2 linked regions of the Anolis sagrei genome follow. The protein of the gene in region 1 interacts with the protein of each later gene in a pairwise test. Links are inferred from orthologs where the notes say so. Each region holds a gene or a part of one and is shown on either strand. Other genes may lie near its edges. The genes, in order: ZMYM2 and FOXP1.

Region 1 (7,143 bases):
AGGAACACCTCAGCAAGCAAGACTCCAAAAGTGGCAGGCTAAAACTCAAAACCTCCACCCATGGCCGATACCAAATGAGAGACTCTCTCCTGTGCAAAAGAGAAAATGGGCGACCTGGAAGGCACTGAACAGACTGTGCTCTGGCACCACGAGATGCAGAGCCAACCTTAAGAAATGGGGTTATAAAAGCGAGTCCACAACACGCAAGCATGGAAAAGAGCAAACACAGATCTCCTACTAAAATGCAGTCTGAGCCCTGCCACATTGCACAATGGAGGACCTTCTTACAGTGACACCAGAGGCACTCCAAACGGCGAATTACTGGTCAAAGGACAATTAATATAATTATCAAGTTTTTAAACTTTGTATCTTTTTAAAAAATACATTAAAACAGTACCTTTGGTTCACTCCTGATAAGATAAAATACCAAACTACAACTTCAATGATTTCATAGCACTAAGCCATGGCAGTAAAAGTGGTGTCTAATTGTATTAATTCTGTGAAGATGCACCCAAACCCTCAACAAATCCAGTTCCATGAAAGAAAAAGAAGAAGCAACCACACTTTGCCAAAGATTGGATTATTTTAAGTCTCTCCTACCCAGCCACAAAGTCAAGTAAGGTTGCAGGCCATTGGGAGAGTTGTGAGGGAATGAAAATTGGAAACCTGGTTAAACACAGTGGACTATCAGTGTATTTGCACATATGGGGATAGGAAGATGCCAGATATATGTAGTTGCTGGGAACTTGAGAGTTACTCTTCAACAGAGATCAAACACTATATCCCATAACATATCATAAACTCTTTATTGACTTGTTATTAATATTGAAATACTGTAATTAAAAGAAAATACAGACAAACTTAACCTAGGCCCCTTCTACACTAACCATTTAATGCAGTTCAAAGCAAGTTTCAAGCTGCTGCTGCCAGACAACAAACTCCCACAAAAGCAAACCCTTAATGTGTGCATCAGTATCTGTGGTTTGTGTGAACACCACCATTTGGCCCCCAAATCAGTTCCAAGATTTCCTGTGTAATCATCTGAACAGCAAAACCAATTTCTTCAATACTGGTTGCACAGCAAAACCACTTTCTTCAATACTGGTTTCATTAAATGGTTAGGGTAGATAGGGTGGAATATAAATAAATAAGTAAATATTATTATTGATAAGCCTTAATACTATATTATAAAAACTGATTTTACTTTATTATAAACAATTTAATTTTTTTATTATTTCTGTGACCTTTTTGCCGGTTGCCTATAGTATGTCACTTTGGTGTTGGCTCCAAAACTCTAGAGGGCTCTCGAAAGATATCCTTCTCAGAGAAGAGCCTGGTTAAAGCGGGGAGGAGCAGCAGCAGGAGGGTGTTGGTTATGGCAGGAGCGCTGTCTGCAGCAGAGCCCACCCCGAGGGAGAGGAGGAGGAGTCTCCTCACGGCCATTACAGGGCTTTGCTCCAGGGCAGCAAGCAGCTGCTAATGCTCCCCCTGCTGCACCCAATACCCCACCATTGCCCTGGAAGCCCCTCCTCCCAAATGCCAAAAAAGAAAAAAAAAGTCTCCTCCTCCTCCTCCCCCAGGCAAAAAAGCATATATAAATAGCACTCACAATAGAGCTCCTTTCTCCAGGTTGGGCTTTGCCAAGGCTGCGCCAAAGTGGCCTGGGGAAAAGAGAGGAGGAGGAGGAGGTGTTGATAATCCTGAGAAAAAGAGAAAAGGGGGCATTAATAGAGTTGGTGGGCATGCCTCCAGAAGACGCCCTTCCTTCTTTGAGGGAGAGCCCCCAATCCTCTAAGGACGCCCCCCTCCTCTCAAAAGATATGTTGATGTTGGGGTCAAGAAGAGAGAAGGGGTCTGAATAGGGCTGGTGGGCATGCCATATCTGTCCCTCCAGAAGACGCCCTTCCTTCTTTAAGAGAGAGCCCCCAATCCTATAAGGACGCCCCCCTCCTCTCAAAAGATATGTTGATGTTGGAGTCAAGAAGAGAGAAGGGGCCTGAATAGGGCTGGTGGGCATGCCATATCTGTCCCTCCAGAAGACGCCCTTCCTTCTTTGAGGGAGAGCCCCCAATCCTCTAAGGACGCCCCCCTCCTCTCAAAAGATATGTTGATGTTGGGGTCAAGAAGAGAGAAGGGGCCTGAATAGTGCTGGTGGGCATGCCATATCTGTCCCTCCAGAAGACGCCCTTCCTTCTTTGAGGGAGAGCCCCCAATCCTCTCAAAAGATATATTGATGCTGGAGTCAAGAAGAGAAAAGGGGCCAGAATAGGGCTGGTGGGCTCCCTTTATCTTCCCCTTCTCTATTTGTACCCCAAATAAAGAGATGGTGGTGTTGGGGGTAAAAATGCTGGCATTAGTAGGTGGGTGGGCCTTCTCATCTTCCCCTCCAGGAGACGCCCTTCCTTCCTTCCTGCCTCGCTGCGTGGCCCCAGAGAGGTCCCAAATGTCTACCTCCAGTTCCCTTAGGCCTACAGTTTTCCAGTGGAATGGGCGCCTCTTGCCCCAGAGAGAAGGTAGAGGCGAAGGGGATAAAGGGGGGGGGGAGGGGGAATAGAGGTGGAGAAAGAGGGCAAAGGGGAGGAGTTTCTCCTTCACGCACACACACAATACCCCACCAAAGACGGAAAGGGAGGAACTGCCTCCAGGGTTTCCCCCGCCACTGACACACAAAACAGCCCCACCGCATGCAATCCTCCCTCCTCCCCCCCTCTGGGGAAAGTGGGCCGGCCCAACTGTCCCTTCGGCCTCCCTTCCCAATTGCCCCGGGCGGCGCGCTTGGCCCCCTGCTGTCGGCCAGCGGTACTGCAGCCTCGGGTCGGCCGCCATTAATGGGGACCCAACCAAACAATACGGAGGGGGGGGGGGAAGGGAGAGGGCAAAAAGAGGAAAGGGAACGCAAGCGAGTACGGAAACAAAAAAGAGACAAAAAACTGCGAGGAGGGAGGCCGCTGGGCTTCAAAGCCGCGCTTGACAGGAATCGCACCCCCCTCCCGGTGTGCTAAAATGGATCAAGCCAAATACCCCTCAGCAGTCCTCCCTCCCTGCTTTAACCGCCCTCTCTCTCTCTCTCCACTCGAAGGGCTCAACGTGTCTCCTCCTGCCTCTCTCACCGTTTAATGGCTTCCCGCGCCAGTGCCTCAACTCTAACTCGGTCCAGTCCCGGGATAAACGCCGCCGCTGCTGGCGAGGCGAAGGAGGGACAAACCCAACCTTCGGGAGGTGGGGGGAAGGGAGAGGGAAAGAGAGGGGTGGATAGGCAGCCTCGTGCTCGCGCCTATTGGCTCCCTCAGGGGGAGGGCTTTGCCGCCCGGAAAGCTATTGGAGCAACCGCCTGCCTGTCATCATCCCGCGCGGCTGGTTGAGCGCCCCCGCCTGCCAATCACGCGCCTCGTAGCCCCGCCCCTTTCTTTGGTATCCCTCAGGTTAGAGACAACCCGAGTTGCCTCTGCGTCCCTCAAGGGGGCGCTGCTTCCTGAGGGCTTTTGGGGCAGAAGTTGGCGCTCTGTTGGCCCTCCATGAAGCAATAATCACAATAGTAACCAAATAGTAATAAATCACATAATAACCACATTTGCCACAAAAAGAGGTGGCAGTGGTAGTGGTGGTCCATTCCCTGCCCCCCCCCATGGATTTTACCCTCCACAATCTCAGGCAATCATTGAGGAGGCGCCCCCATTTCCATAATGGGGTCGTTTGGTTGGAATTGGTGCCTCAGGACATGGCGCCCTGGGGGAGGGGGAGGGGCAACATGAGGGGCAACAATAGGGACGCCCTCCCAAATGTCCCCAAAATGAACACTAATAAGAGGAGCCCATGCTCTTCAACTTCCAATAATCTCCTCAAAAGGGAGACCAATCCCAGGCAATGAAGCCCAGCACGGCTCCTGGTGGTGGAAGTGGTGGTGGTGGTTGAATGGTGGTGGCGTCCTCCATTTTGTCTGCTGCTGCTGCTGCTGCAATGGGGAGCTTCTCTGGGGGATCCCTTCAGAGCAAGATGGGGCTCTGAAAGGAGAGCCCCTTTTCCCCTCAAGGAGGGAGCCCTGAAGGAGGAGAGGGAACCTCCAAGGAAGCCCCAAGGCGGTGGGAAGGAAACCACCCACAGCCAAAGCTCCCCACTTTCCCCTCAAACCAAAATGGAGGATGCGCGCTTTCTCCTCCTATTGCGCGCTTGGCTTCGCCCCAGTTTTTTTTCCCCCTTCCCTTCCTTTTTTCCCAATCCATGGCTCGTGTTTTGGTTGGAGCCACCCGTTGTGACCCTGCTGTGACAAAAAAAAGGGAACAAAAAAGAGGCAGGAAAGAAAAACAAAACCACACACATATATATATCTCCACACCACCTCGCTTCCCTCACTCCACCTTGCAGCCATTCTCACGCTTGCACACTCCCTAGGGAAAGGCTTTATTTATGTTTTGTGTGTGTGTGTGTGTGTAATTGCGCGGGAGGAGAAGCAAAGGAGTCTTAACAACTTGGCTCTTTGGAGCTCTGGCTAATTCTCATGCGCCACCAAAAAAATAATGATAATAATAATAAAAACGCCAAAGTGACTGGAGCAGCGCCACTTTTTGAAACGGAGGCAGCCAACAGGTTTAAGCCAAAACTATTTAATAGGAGGGCGCTCTCTCTCTGTCTCTCTGTGTTTACGGGGAAAGAGCTAAAAGATTACCCTCCAGGTGGACAAATAAACCCAGGGAGAAGCTAAGGCTGGGTTCTACACCGAGCAGTCTGGACTATATCATGCAGTTCAAACTGCTCTGACCTTAGCATGCAGTTCAAACTGCATTACATGGTTCTACACCTGGCCTGGGCAAACTTTGGCCCTCCAGGTGTTTTGGACTTCAATTGGCACAATTCCTAACAGCCTCTGTCACTTTCCTTTTTGCCCTTCTCTTCTTCGGGCTAAACATGCCCAGCTCCTTAAGCTGCTCCTCATAGGGCTTGTTCTCCTTCACTTTCACTTAGGAGATCCCTCGTTGGACGAGTAAGATGGTCTTCCATTATGGATTTCCTTGTGGGTCCGCATGTGGCTGTGGAGCCCTATTCTTGCTCTGCATCTTCTTCCGCAGTGTGGGCATTGGTTTCCAGGTGGAAGGTGGTCCCGGTTGGGGTTGGCTTGACACGCCTTCCTCCTGGCACGTTTCTCTCTTTCACCCTCCACTCGTGCCTCATCGAATTCTGCAGCACTGCTGGTCACAGCTGACCTCCAGCTGGAACGGTCAAGGGCCAGGGCTTCCCAGTTCTCAGTGTCTATGCCAGAGTTTTTAAGGTTGGCTTTGAGGCCATCTTTAAATCTCTTTTCCTGTCCACCAACATTCCGTTTTCCATTCTTAATTTCAGAGTAGAGCAGCTGCTTTGGGAGACGGTGGTCAGGCATCCGGACAACGTGGCCGGCCCAGCTTGTTCTCCAGACCCTTAATCATTTTAGTTCCAACTGCGTTACATGGTTCTACACCTGGCCTGGGCAAACTTTGGCCCTCCAGATCTTTGGACTTCAATTGGCACAATTCCTAACAGCCTCTGGCACTTTCCTTTTTGCCCTTCTCTTCTTCGGGCTAAACATTCCCAGCTCCTTAAGCTGCTCCTCATAGGGCTTGTTCTCCAGACCCTTAATCATTTTAGTTCCAACAGCATTACATGGTTCTGGCCAGCCACTTTGTCCGGATGCCTGACCACCGTCTCCCAAAGCAGTTGCTTTACTCTGAACTTAAGAACGGAAAACGGAATGTTGGTGGACAGGAAAAGAGATTTAAAGATGGCCTCAAAGCCAACCTTAAAAACTCTGGCATAGACACTGAGAACTGGAAAGCCCTGGCCCTTGACCGCTCCAGCTGGAGGTCAGCTGTGACCAGCAGTGCTGCAGAATTCGAGGAGGCACGAGTGGAGGGTGAAAGAGAGAAACGTGCCAAGAGGAAGGCGCGTCAAGCCAACCCCGACCGAGACCGCCTTCCACCTGGAAACCAATGCCTTCACTGTGGGAGAAGATGCGGGTCAAGAATAGGGCTCCACAGCCACCTACAAACCCACAAAAATAGTCATCAAGGAAGACCATCTTACTCGTCCAACGAGGGATCACCTAAGTAAGTAAAACACGGTTCTACACCTGGCCTGGGCAAACTTTGGCCCTCCAGGTCTTTGGACTTCAATTGGCACAATTCCTAACAGCCTCTGGCACTTTCCTTTTTGCACCTTCGTTGCTTAAGGAATTGTACCAGTTGAAGTCCAAAACACCTGGAGGGCCAAAGTTTGCCCAGGCCTGTTCTACAAAACAACAGAGAGTAAACAATCAGGCACATCAAATCACCTCTCAAAGAAAGATTCCCCCAGGCACTTCCAAGCCATTAAATGCTAATCATAGAATCATAGAATCAAAGAGTTGGAAGAGACCTCATGGGCCATCCAGTCCAACCCCCTGCCAAGAAGCAGGAATATTGCATTCAAATCACCCCTGACAAATGGCCATCCAGCCTCTGCTTAAAAGCTTCCAAAGAAGGAGCCTCCACCACACTCCGGGGCAGAGAGTTCCACTGCTGAACGGCTCTCACGGTCAGGAAGTTCTTCCTAATGTTCAGATGGAATCTCCTCTCTTGTAGTTTGAAGCCATTGTTCCGCGTCCTAGTCTCCAAGGAAGCAGAGAACAAGCTTGCTCCCTCCTCCCTGTGGCTTCCTCTCACATATTTATACATGGCTATCATATCTCCTCTCAGCCTTCTCTTCTTCAGGCTAAACATGCCCAGTTCCCTAATCCGCTCCTCATAGGGCTTGTTCTCCAGACCCTTTATCATTTTAGTCGCCCTCCTCTGGACACATTCCAGCTTGTCAATATCTCTCTTCAATTGTGGTACCCAGAATTGGACACAATATTCCAGGTATGGTCTAACCAAGGCGGAATAGAGGGGTAGCATTACTTTCCTTGATCTAGACACTATGCTCCTATTGATGCAGGCCAAAATCCCATTGGCTTTTTTTGCCGCCACATCACATTGTTGGCTCATGTTTAACTTGTTGTCCACGAGGACTCCAAGATCTTTTTCACACATTTTTATTTATTATTTCTTTATTCACAGTAGAGTCTCGCTTATAATAAGTAATAATAATAAAAACTTTATTTGTATTCCGCTCTATCTTTATTTATATTCTGCTGGGAGA
Region 2 (7,202 bases), on another chromosome or scaffold:
AGGGTTTGAATCCGCATTTGAATCCAGACTCTTATGTGTCTGCAGTGTCAGATTATCATCTTTATTCCGGGAGTTTGAGCCATTCAACATTAAGCACATTTAATTTAAATGGGAGACATTGAAGCATTTTTAAAAGGTGTGCTTTAAAATTAATTTGCCTTACAATATGATGTAACAATGATTGCCACAAATATTTATATAACTCAAAGGGGGACTTTAAATAAAACAGGACAAGAAGACATACAATCATAGTGTTATATATATAACTAGTAACCTTTGCAAAAAAAAGTTGATATGGGCAAAGTGAGTGGATGGGGCAAAAAGCTTTTAGATTTGTTTTACTAATGTTTATATTATTGTGTGCTTGTTAAATTAAGTGGTATGTGATTATTTTCTATGGTATACAATTTATTGTATTTGTTTATTGTTGTAAGCCACCCCGAGTCCCTTCGGGGAGATACAAATAACAACAACAACAACCACCTTTATTTGTATAATAATAACAATAATAATCTTTATTTGGGTGGGATAGAAATAAAGATTATTATTACTATTATTCGATAAATAACAAGATTAGTTCACAGCAAACAAGATCATTATGCTGGCTGTTGTATTTGATCACTCGTCAGACACTTCCCAAGTATCCAGGACTATGTAATGTATCAGCAAATAATGTATGCAGATCTGAGTAGGGTGGCCCCTTTTGCAGCTGACAGGTGGTAATTTTGTTAGCACTGATTGCTTTTAAGTGCAGGCCAAGGTCTTTAGGCACTGCACCCAGTGTGCTGATCACCACTGGGGCCACCTTGACTGGCTTGTGCCAGTCTTTGCAGTTCTATCTTTAAATCCTCGTATGATGTCAGCTTTGCCAGTTGCTTCTCGTCAATCCTGCTGTTGCCTGGGATTGCAACATTGATGATCCATACTTTCTTTGTTTTCCACAAGCATGAGATATTATTATTATTATTATTATTATTATTATTATTATTATTATTATCTTTTAGCAAAAGCCTTGAGAATTTTCTGGAGGAAATCTTGGAACCAGTATTTCCCCTTAATTAATAAATAGTTCCTCCTAGCTGTCAGTGGTTAAAACTCCTATGAATATATATATATATATAGAGAGAGAGAGAGAGAGAGCAAGCCCTCCAACACTGTGCAAGAACATATTGTCCAGGCTATGAACAACATTTTATTAGAGCTCCGTATTTATAAATAGTATAAAATGAGTGAATAAGTGGGTTTGATTATGCATTACAAAGAAGAGGGTATTGTTTAGTGGTTGGGCCACAGCTTGGAGTGTCAGAAGGAGCTGGGGATTGAATTCACAGCCAGTGAAAAGGCAGGTAAAAGTAACCCTTTCCATCCCTAGTTGGACTTCGGAAAGAAAGGAAAATGGGCTGCTGTGAGTTTTCCGGGCTGTGTGGCCATGATCCAGAAGCATTCTCTCCTGACGTTTCACCTGCCTGTATGGCAGGCATCCTCAGTGGTTGTGAGGTCTGTTGGAAACTAGGAAAATTGGGTTATATATCGGTGGAATGTCCAGGGTGGGAGAACAGAGATAGAAACACCATTTCCTAGTTTCCAACAGACCCCACAACCTCTGAGGATGTCTGCCATAGATGCAGGTGAAACGTCCGGAGAGAATGCTTCTGGAACATGGATACAGAGCCCGGAAAACTCACAGCAACCCAGTGATTCGGGTCATGAAAGCCTTCGACAATGCATTATTGCAGCACTTTGGGGCGGAAAGACCGTGTGTCTCTTTTATTAAAGGGCAGGTCAGAAGGCTGCTTGAAAAACTGGAGGAGCCTTTAACAGCCTCACTAAACTACAAACCCCATAATTTTGCAGAAGGTAGAAACCGGATTTGAAGTGGTCTTTTTGTCCTCTGGAGTCGCAGAAAATGTGTGGATGGAGGCGAAGAAACGGCCTCGAGGTGGGAAGGGCTGATGATAGTTGTATATAATCTCTTTAAGAAAGGCCCAGATGTGATACAAAGGTTCCTGGAAGGCGAAACGTTTTGTTTCCACACACAAAACAACCTGCCGTGAGTGGCCAGCCTGTCGGGGAAGAAAGAAAAAGGTGGCGCTTGGGTGAAACGTGGCAGCAAAGTTCTGTGGATTGCCCTGGGCAATTGTTGCCACGCTTAACCCAAACGCTACCTACCTTGTACTTCCCGGAAAGGCAGGCCACTTTGCATGGAAACACAACCCTTTCCTTGGCAGGCTGGCCCAATTTTGCGCCTCGCTTTGGAAGGAAGGCAAAATGGGGACTTGGATTTCCCAAAGTACTCAACGAGAAGTTTTCTTCCTCTTTTATTTTCCCTTCCAAAGAGCCCTTAAGCAGGGCCCAGAGCGCGCGCCCTTCTCCTTGCTCCCTGTTTCTAAAGAGCGCTGAGGGTCCAGTGCGCGCGCCAGAGGACCCTGGAGTGCGCGCGCCCTTCGCCTTCTCCTTGCTCCCCTGTTTCTATTTCTCTCTCTCTCTCTGCAAAGGCTGGCCATGCCTGCTTGGCTTCTGCCTTGCGAGGCGGCGGGGGTTTGTCCTCCTGCTGAACTTTCACCTCTCGAACTCGGCGCCTTTCATTGGGCAAAGTGCAAAAAGGAGGCGAGGGGAAAGAGAGAGAAAGGAGAGAGAGAGAAAGAGGAAGAAGCCGGCACTGGGGCTTCTAAAACAACACTCGCGCTTGGGAAGGAAACAAGGCAGGCTCGCCCTCTCACTCCCAACTCCTTTCTTCTATTAGGATTCTGTTTAGGAAAGGAGAGAAAGCCCCAAGCGAGCCCAGAGCTGGGAGCTCTTCAGGCACCTCTTTGCCTTTCTTCTCCCCCTCGTTTCTCAAGGCTCGCCCTCTCACTCCCAACTCCTTTCTTTTATTAGGGTTCTGTTTAGGAAAGAGGAGAGAAAGCCCCAAGCGAGCCCAGAGCTCTTCAGGCGCCTCTCCTTTCGCTTATCCTTCCTCCTCCTCCTCTCGTTTCTCATTCTTTTCCTTCTCCAATTTGTGCCCTTCCTTCTTTCCAATCTGCCTCCTTGCCCTCTCTTTTCACCAACTGCGGTCTCTTTTCTCTTTCCCTTCTATCCCCCTTCTTCTCTCTTGGAGCTCTTCAGGCACCTCTCCTTCCCTTTCCCTTCCTCTTCCTAGTCTTCCTCTTTGCATTTCTCTTCCTTCCCCGTTTGTGTCCATTTCTTCTCTTCAATCTGCCTCCTTTCCTTCTCTCTTTCCCCCAACTGCAATCTCTTTCCCCTTTCTCCTCTTTCTCTCTTGGAGCTCTTCAGGCGCCTCTCCTTTCGCTTATCCTTCCTCTCGTTTCTCATTTCTTCTTTTCCTTCTCCAATGTGTGCCCTCCCTTCTCTCCAATCTGCCTCCTTTGCCTCTCTCTTTCCCCCAACTGCAGTCTCTTTTCTTTTTCCCCTCTCTCCCTCTTCTTCTTCTCTCTTGGAGCTCTTCAGGCACCTCTCCTTTTGCTCCTTCTCTCGTTTCTCATATCTTCTTTTTCTCCCTTCTCTCCAATCTACCTCCTTCCCCTTCTTTGAGCTCTTCAGGCACCTCTCGTTCCCTTTGCCTTCCTAGTTTTCCTCTCATTTCTTCTTTTCCTTCTCCAATTTGTCCCCCCCCCCCCTCTTCTCTCCAATCGGCCTCCTTTCCCTCTATCTTTTTCCCTCAACTGCAACCTCTTTTTCCCTTCTCTCTTTGAGCTCTTCAGGCACCTCTCATTCCCTTTTCTTTCCTAGTCTTCCTCCTCCCATTTATTTCTTTTCCTTCTCCATTTGTGTCCTTTCCTTCTCTTCCAATCTGCCTCCTTTTCCTCTCTTTCTCTCCTTTTCCCCAACTGCAATCTCTTTCTCTTTCCCCTCTCCCTCCCTTCTTCTCTCTCTGAGTTCTTCAGGAACCTCTCGTTCCCTTTCCCTTCCTCCCATTTCTTTTCCTTCTCCGTTTGTGTCCTTTCCTTCTCCTCCTTTTCCCCTCTCTTTCTCTCTCTCTCTTTTTTTTTTTTTGCACTGAGCCTTGTTTACCCAGCAGGTGGATGTGACGTCAGGGACTCACAACAGCAAAAAATAACAAAATCTCCCTCCGCGGGGTGTTATTTTTCTTCCGAGCGGAGAGGCGGGGGAGGGAAAAGAAGGGAGAAGAAACCCAAACACAAGCCCGGCTTCCTCTTCCCCCCCTTTTCCTTCCCAAAAGAGCCAAACTCCAAAGTGGGGAGCAGACTTTGGTAGGAAGACAACACGGAGCGGGTGGGGGACAGGCAAGAGTTGGCGAGGGAGGGCTTTTCTCTGGGCTTCCTCCTTCCCTGGCTTTGCTTCTGCTTCTGGATGAGCTTCGCCTGCTCTGCCTCCTCTCTCTCTCTCTTCTCTCTCTTCCCCCTTTTGGGAAGCTAGTTCCCGACTCCAGGCGGAGGGCTCTATTGTTGTTTATTGTGTGGCGGGGCCGCACGCTGTGCCTCCTGCATGGGGCTGGCTGGCTAGCGAAGGAGGAGAGAGAGAGAGAGAGGGATTGAGGAAGGAGGGAGAGGCAAAGGCGAGGGGCAGGCAGAGGCACCCACCCGCAGTGGGGGGAATAAGAGAGAGAGAGAGAGCCCCTTAGCTGGCACCGCCAGGGCCGCGCTTCCAAGCGGGTGAGTTTGCCATCCTTGCGCCGCCTTCGCTCGCAACTCTTCCTCCTTTGCTTTCTGTTTGTTTGTCTCTCCCTCAGAGCCCTCCCCCACGCCCAGGCCCCTCGCCCCACGTGCCACAGTGGAGACCCGGCACGGGCCAACTTGGGCCCTCACGCCACGGGACTTGGGGGTCCAACTCCCACCATCCCTCACAGCCTCAGGCCCCTTCCTTAAGCGGCTGAGGGGGGAAAGGAAAGGGGCCTGAGAGGCTGAGAGGGATGGTAAGAGTTCAGCCCCTCTCCCTCCTCTTCCTCCCAAACACATGACCGCCGCAAGTTGGAAGCAGCCCGCACTTTGGGGACCCTCCTCCAGGGTGTGTGTTGGGCATATCTATAGCTCTACCCCATAGGTGTCTCTCTGGGAGAGAGGAAGGGAGGAGGGCTCGGCCCCCCGGGGGGGGGGGAGGAAGCGGGCCCGAAGGAGAACTTTGGGCGCCGCTTGGAGAAACTTTTGCCCGGCTTCCCTCGCGTGTGCATCAATGGAGAGAGAGGCCTTTGGGGGAGGCAGAGGAGCACCAATACACACACACATCCCTTCGCACGGTCCCCAAGCTCGAACTCGCCGGGCTGGCCCCTCACTTTCTCCCACCGCTAAGTCGCCCAATAGACCGGCCAGCATTCAAGGTTGCTCCTATTACTTCCTCTCTTTCTCTCTCTTTTCTTCTCCCACCTCCTCTACTTCTTTCTCCTCTTCTCTTTCTTCTCCGTCTTCTTCTCCCTCCTCTACTTCTTTCTTTTCTTCTCCCTCTTCTTCCTCCTCTACTACTTTCTCCTCTTCTTCTCAGTCTTCTCCCTCTTTTTTTCTCCCTCCACCTCTTCTTTCTTCTCCGTCTTCTCCTCTTTCGCTTGCACCCCCTTTCTCTCTTCCTCCTTCTCTACTTCTTTCTCCTCTTCTCTTTCTTCCCCGTGTTCTTCTCCCTCCTCTTCTTTCTTACTCCTTCCTCTTCTTCTCTGTCCTCTACTTCTTTCTCTTTCTTCTCGGTCTTCTTCTCCCTCCTCTTTCGCTTGCACCCCCTTTCTCTCTTCCTCCTTCCCTACTTCTTTCTCCTCTTCCTCTTCTCTTTCTTCTCCGTCTTCTTCTTGCTCCTCTTCTTTCTTACTCCTTCCTCTTCTTCTCTCCTCTACTTCTTTCTCTTTCTTCTCCCTCTTTTTTCTCCCTGCTCCTCTTCTTTCTTCCCCGTCGTCTTCTCCCTCCTCTTTCTCTTTTCTTTTCCCTCTTTCTCCTCTACTTCTTTCTCCGTTTTCAACCTCCTCTTGCTTCCCTTTTCTTCTCCCTCTTCCTCCCCCTCTACTTCTTTCCCCTCTTCTCCCTCCTTCTCTTCTCTTCTCTGCACTCCCCTCGCGCGTGGAATCTCCACCCTTAAAGCGGACTTTCCTGGAGAGAGTTTGCATGCTCCAAGGATCCACACAACACTCGTGATTCCACTTTTTTGAAAGACCCGCTCTTTACCCCTTGGCCACTTGGCCTCAAGTCGCGCAAAGGCAAAGGGCGCGCGGGTGACCCAACCGAGAGCGGCGGTCCCACGCGCGGAGGCCCCCCTCGCTCCTTCCCTCCCTCCCTCCCTGGAGTTGGAAGAGGAGATCCTAAGGGTCATTCTGCCCCACCCTCTCCTTGCCAGGCAGGAACACACAACCAAAACCCTCCCAACAGACGGCCACCCAGCCCCTGATTGAAAGTAAACGCGCGGAGAAGGAGGGAGGGAGAGTCAGGCGTGGAAACTCGGCAAGGCCACTTCGCCTGCGGGGAAAGCGCAACCACAAGCCATACATCAACCTTGTTCCGTCGCACCAAGCGCCCCCAGTCCCACCCCCTTCTCCCCTTCCAGGCCAAGCGAGCGACTGGTGGCTGAGGGAGGCGGGAGGGAGTCCCGGGAGAGATTTTCCTCCCAACTTTCTTCTCCCTTCGCGAGTCTCCCGGGTGCCGGGACTCGCGCGCCAAGTGCCACCAGCGGGACATTTCCCACCCTTTCCGTCCTCGCGGCAGGTTTGAGCCGGGAACAAGTTGGGAAAAGTTGGCGCGCGCGCTCGGCTCCCTGCGGAGTGTCTTCCCTTCTCCACACGCGCCTTCCTCTTCTCGCCCCCCCCCCCACTCCATTGCCCCCCCACTCCATTCCCCCCCCCCCAAACCAAGTCTCTCTTTCCTCCTCTTTCTCAGCCCAGAACCAGGGAGAGCCAGCCGGGAGCGCCCCTTCCCCCATTCACCCCCATCTTCCCCTTGTCTTGGTACCTTCAGCAAAGCCCCGGCTGCCTTCTGGTCAGGAATCTCCGAGCCCACGCTTGTCACTTCTTCCCCTCCCACACCAGCTCCCTGCCCCGGTTTGCCCCGAAAGACAGCAAGAGCGCAAGGAGGGAGGAGTGGATGGAGAGAGAGAGACAGAAAGAAAGAAACGCCTGCGTGCCTGTGGCCACCTGAGAGCCTGTAACCAGATCTGATTCCCTCATCCCCTTCCTTCCTTCCTTGCAAGTGCTTTCCAAGGTTTTCCCTCTCTCCTCTCTCTCTTTCTCTCTCTCTTTCTCCCCCCCCAATTCCCTGAGACACAACCGCACACTC

What was found.
Region 2: the proteins of ZMYM2 (region 1) and FOXP1 come close enough for resonance energy transfer, tested with the Homo sapiens proteins (2 studies listed by BioGRID). The link is inferred for Anolis sagrei from reciprocal best matches to the Homo sapiens genes ZMYM2 and FOXP1.

What each region holds. Positions count from the first base shown.
Region 1 is NC_090023.1:27,920,804-27,927,946, reverse strand, and holds the start of ZMYM2 (zinc finger MYM-type protein 2), read right to left. Parts: upstream 3,261-7,143; 5' UTR 3,111-3,260; intron 1,701-3,110; 5' UTR 1,610-1,700; intron 1-1,609. UniProt on the Homo sapiens protein: Involved in the negative regulation of transcription.
Region 2 is NC_090022.1:39,731,185-39,738,386, reverse strand, and holds the start of FOXP1 (forkhead box protein P1), read left to right. Parts: upstream 1-4,123; 5' UTR 4,124-4,211; intron 4,212-4,524; exon of another isoform or gene 4,525-4,613; intron 4,614-7,202. UniProt on the Homo sapiens protein: Transcriptional repressor. Can act with CTBP1 to synergistically repress transcription but CTPBP1 is not essential. Plays an important role in the specification and differentiation of lung epithelium.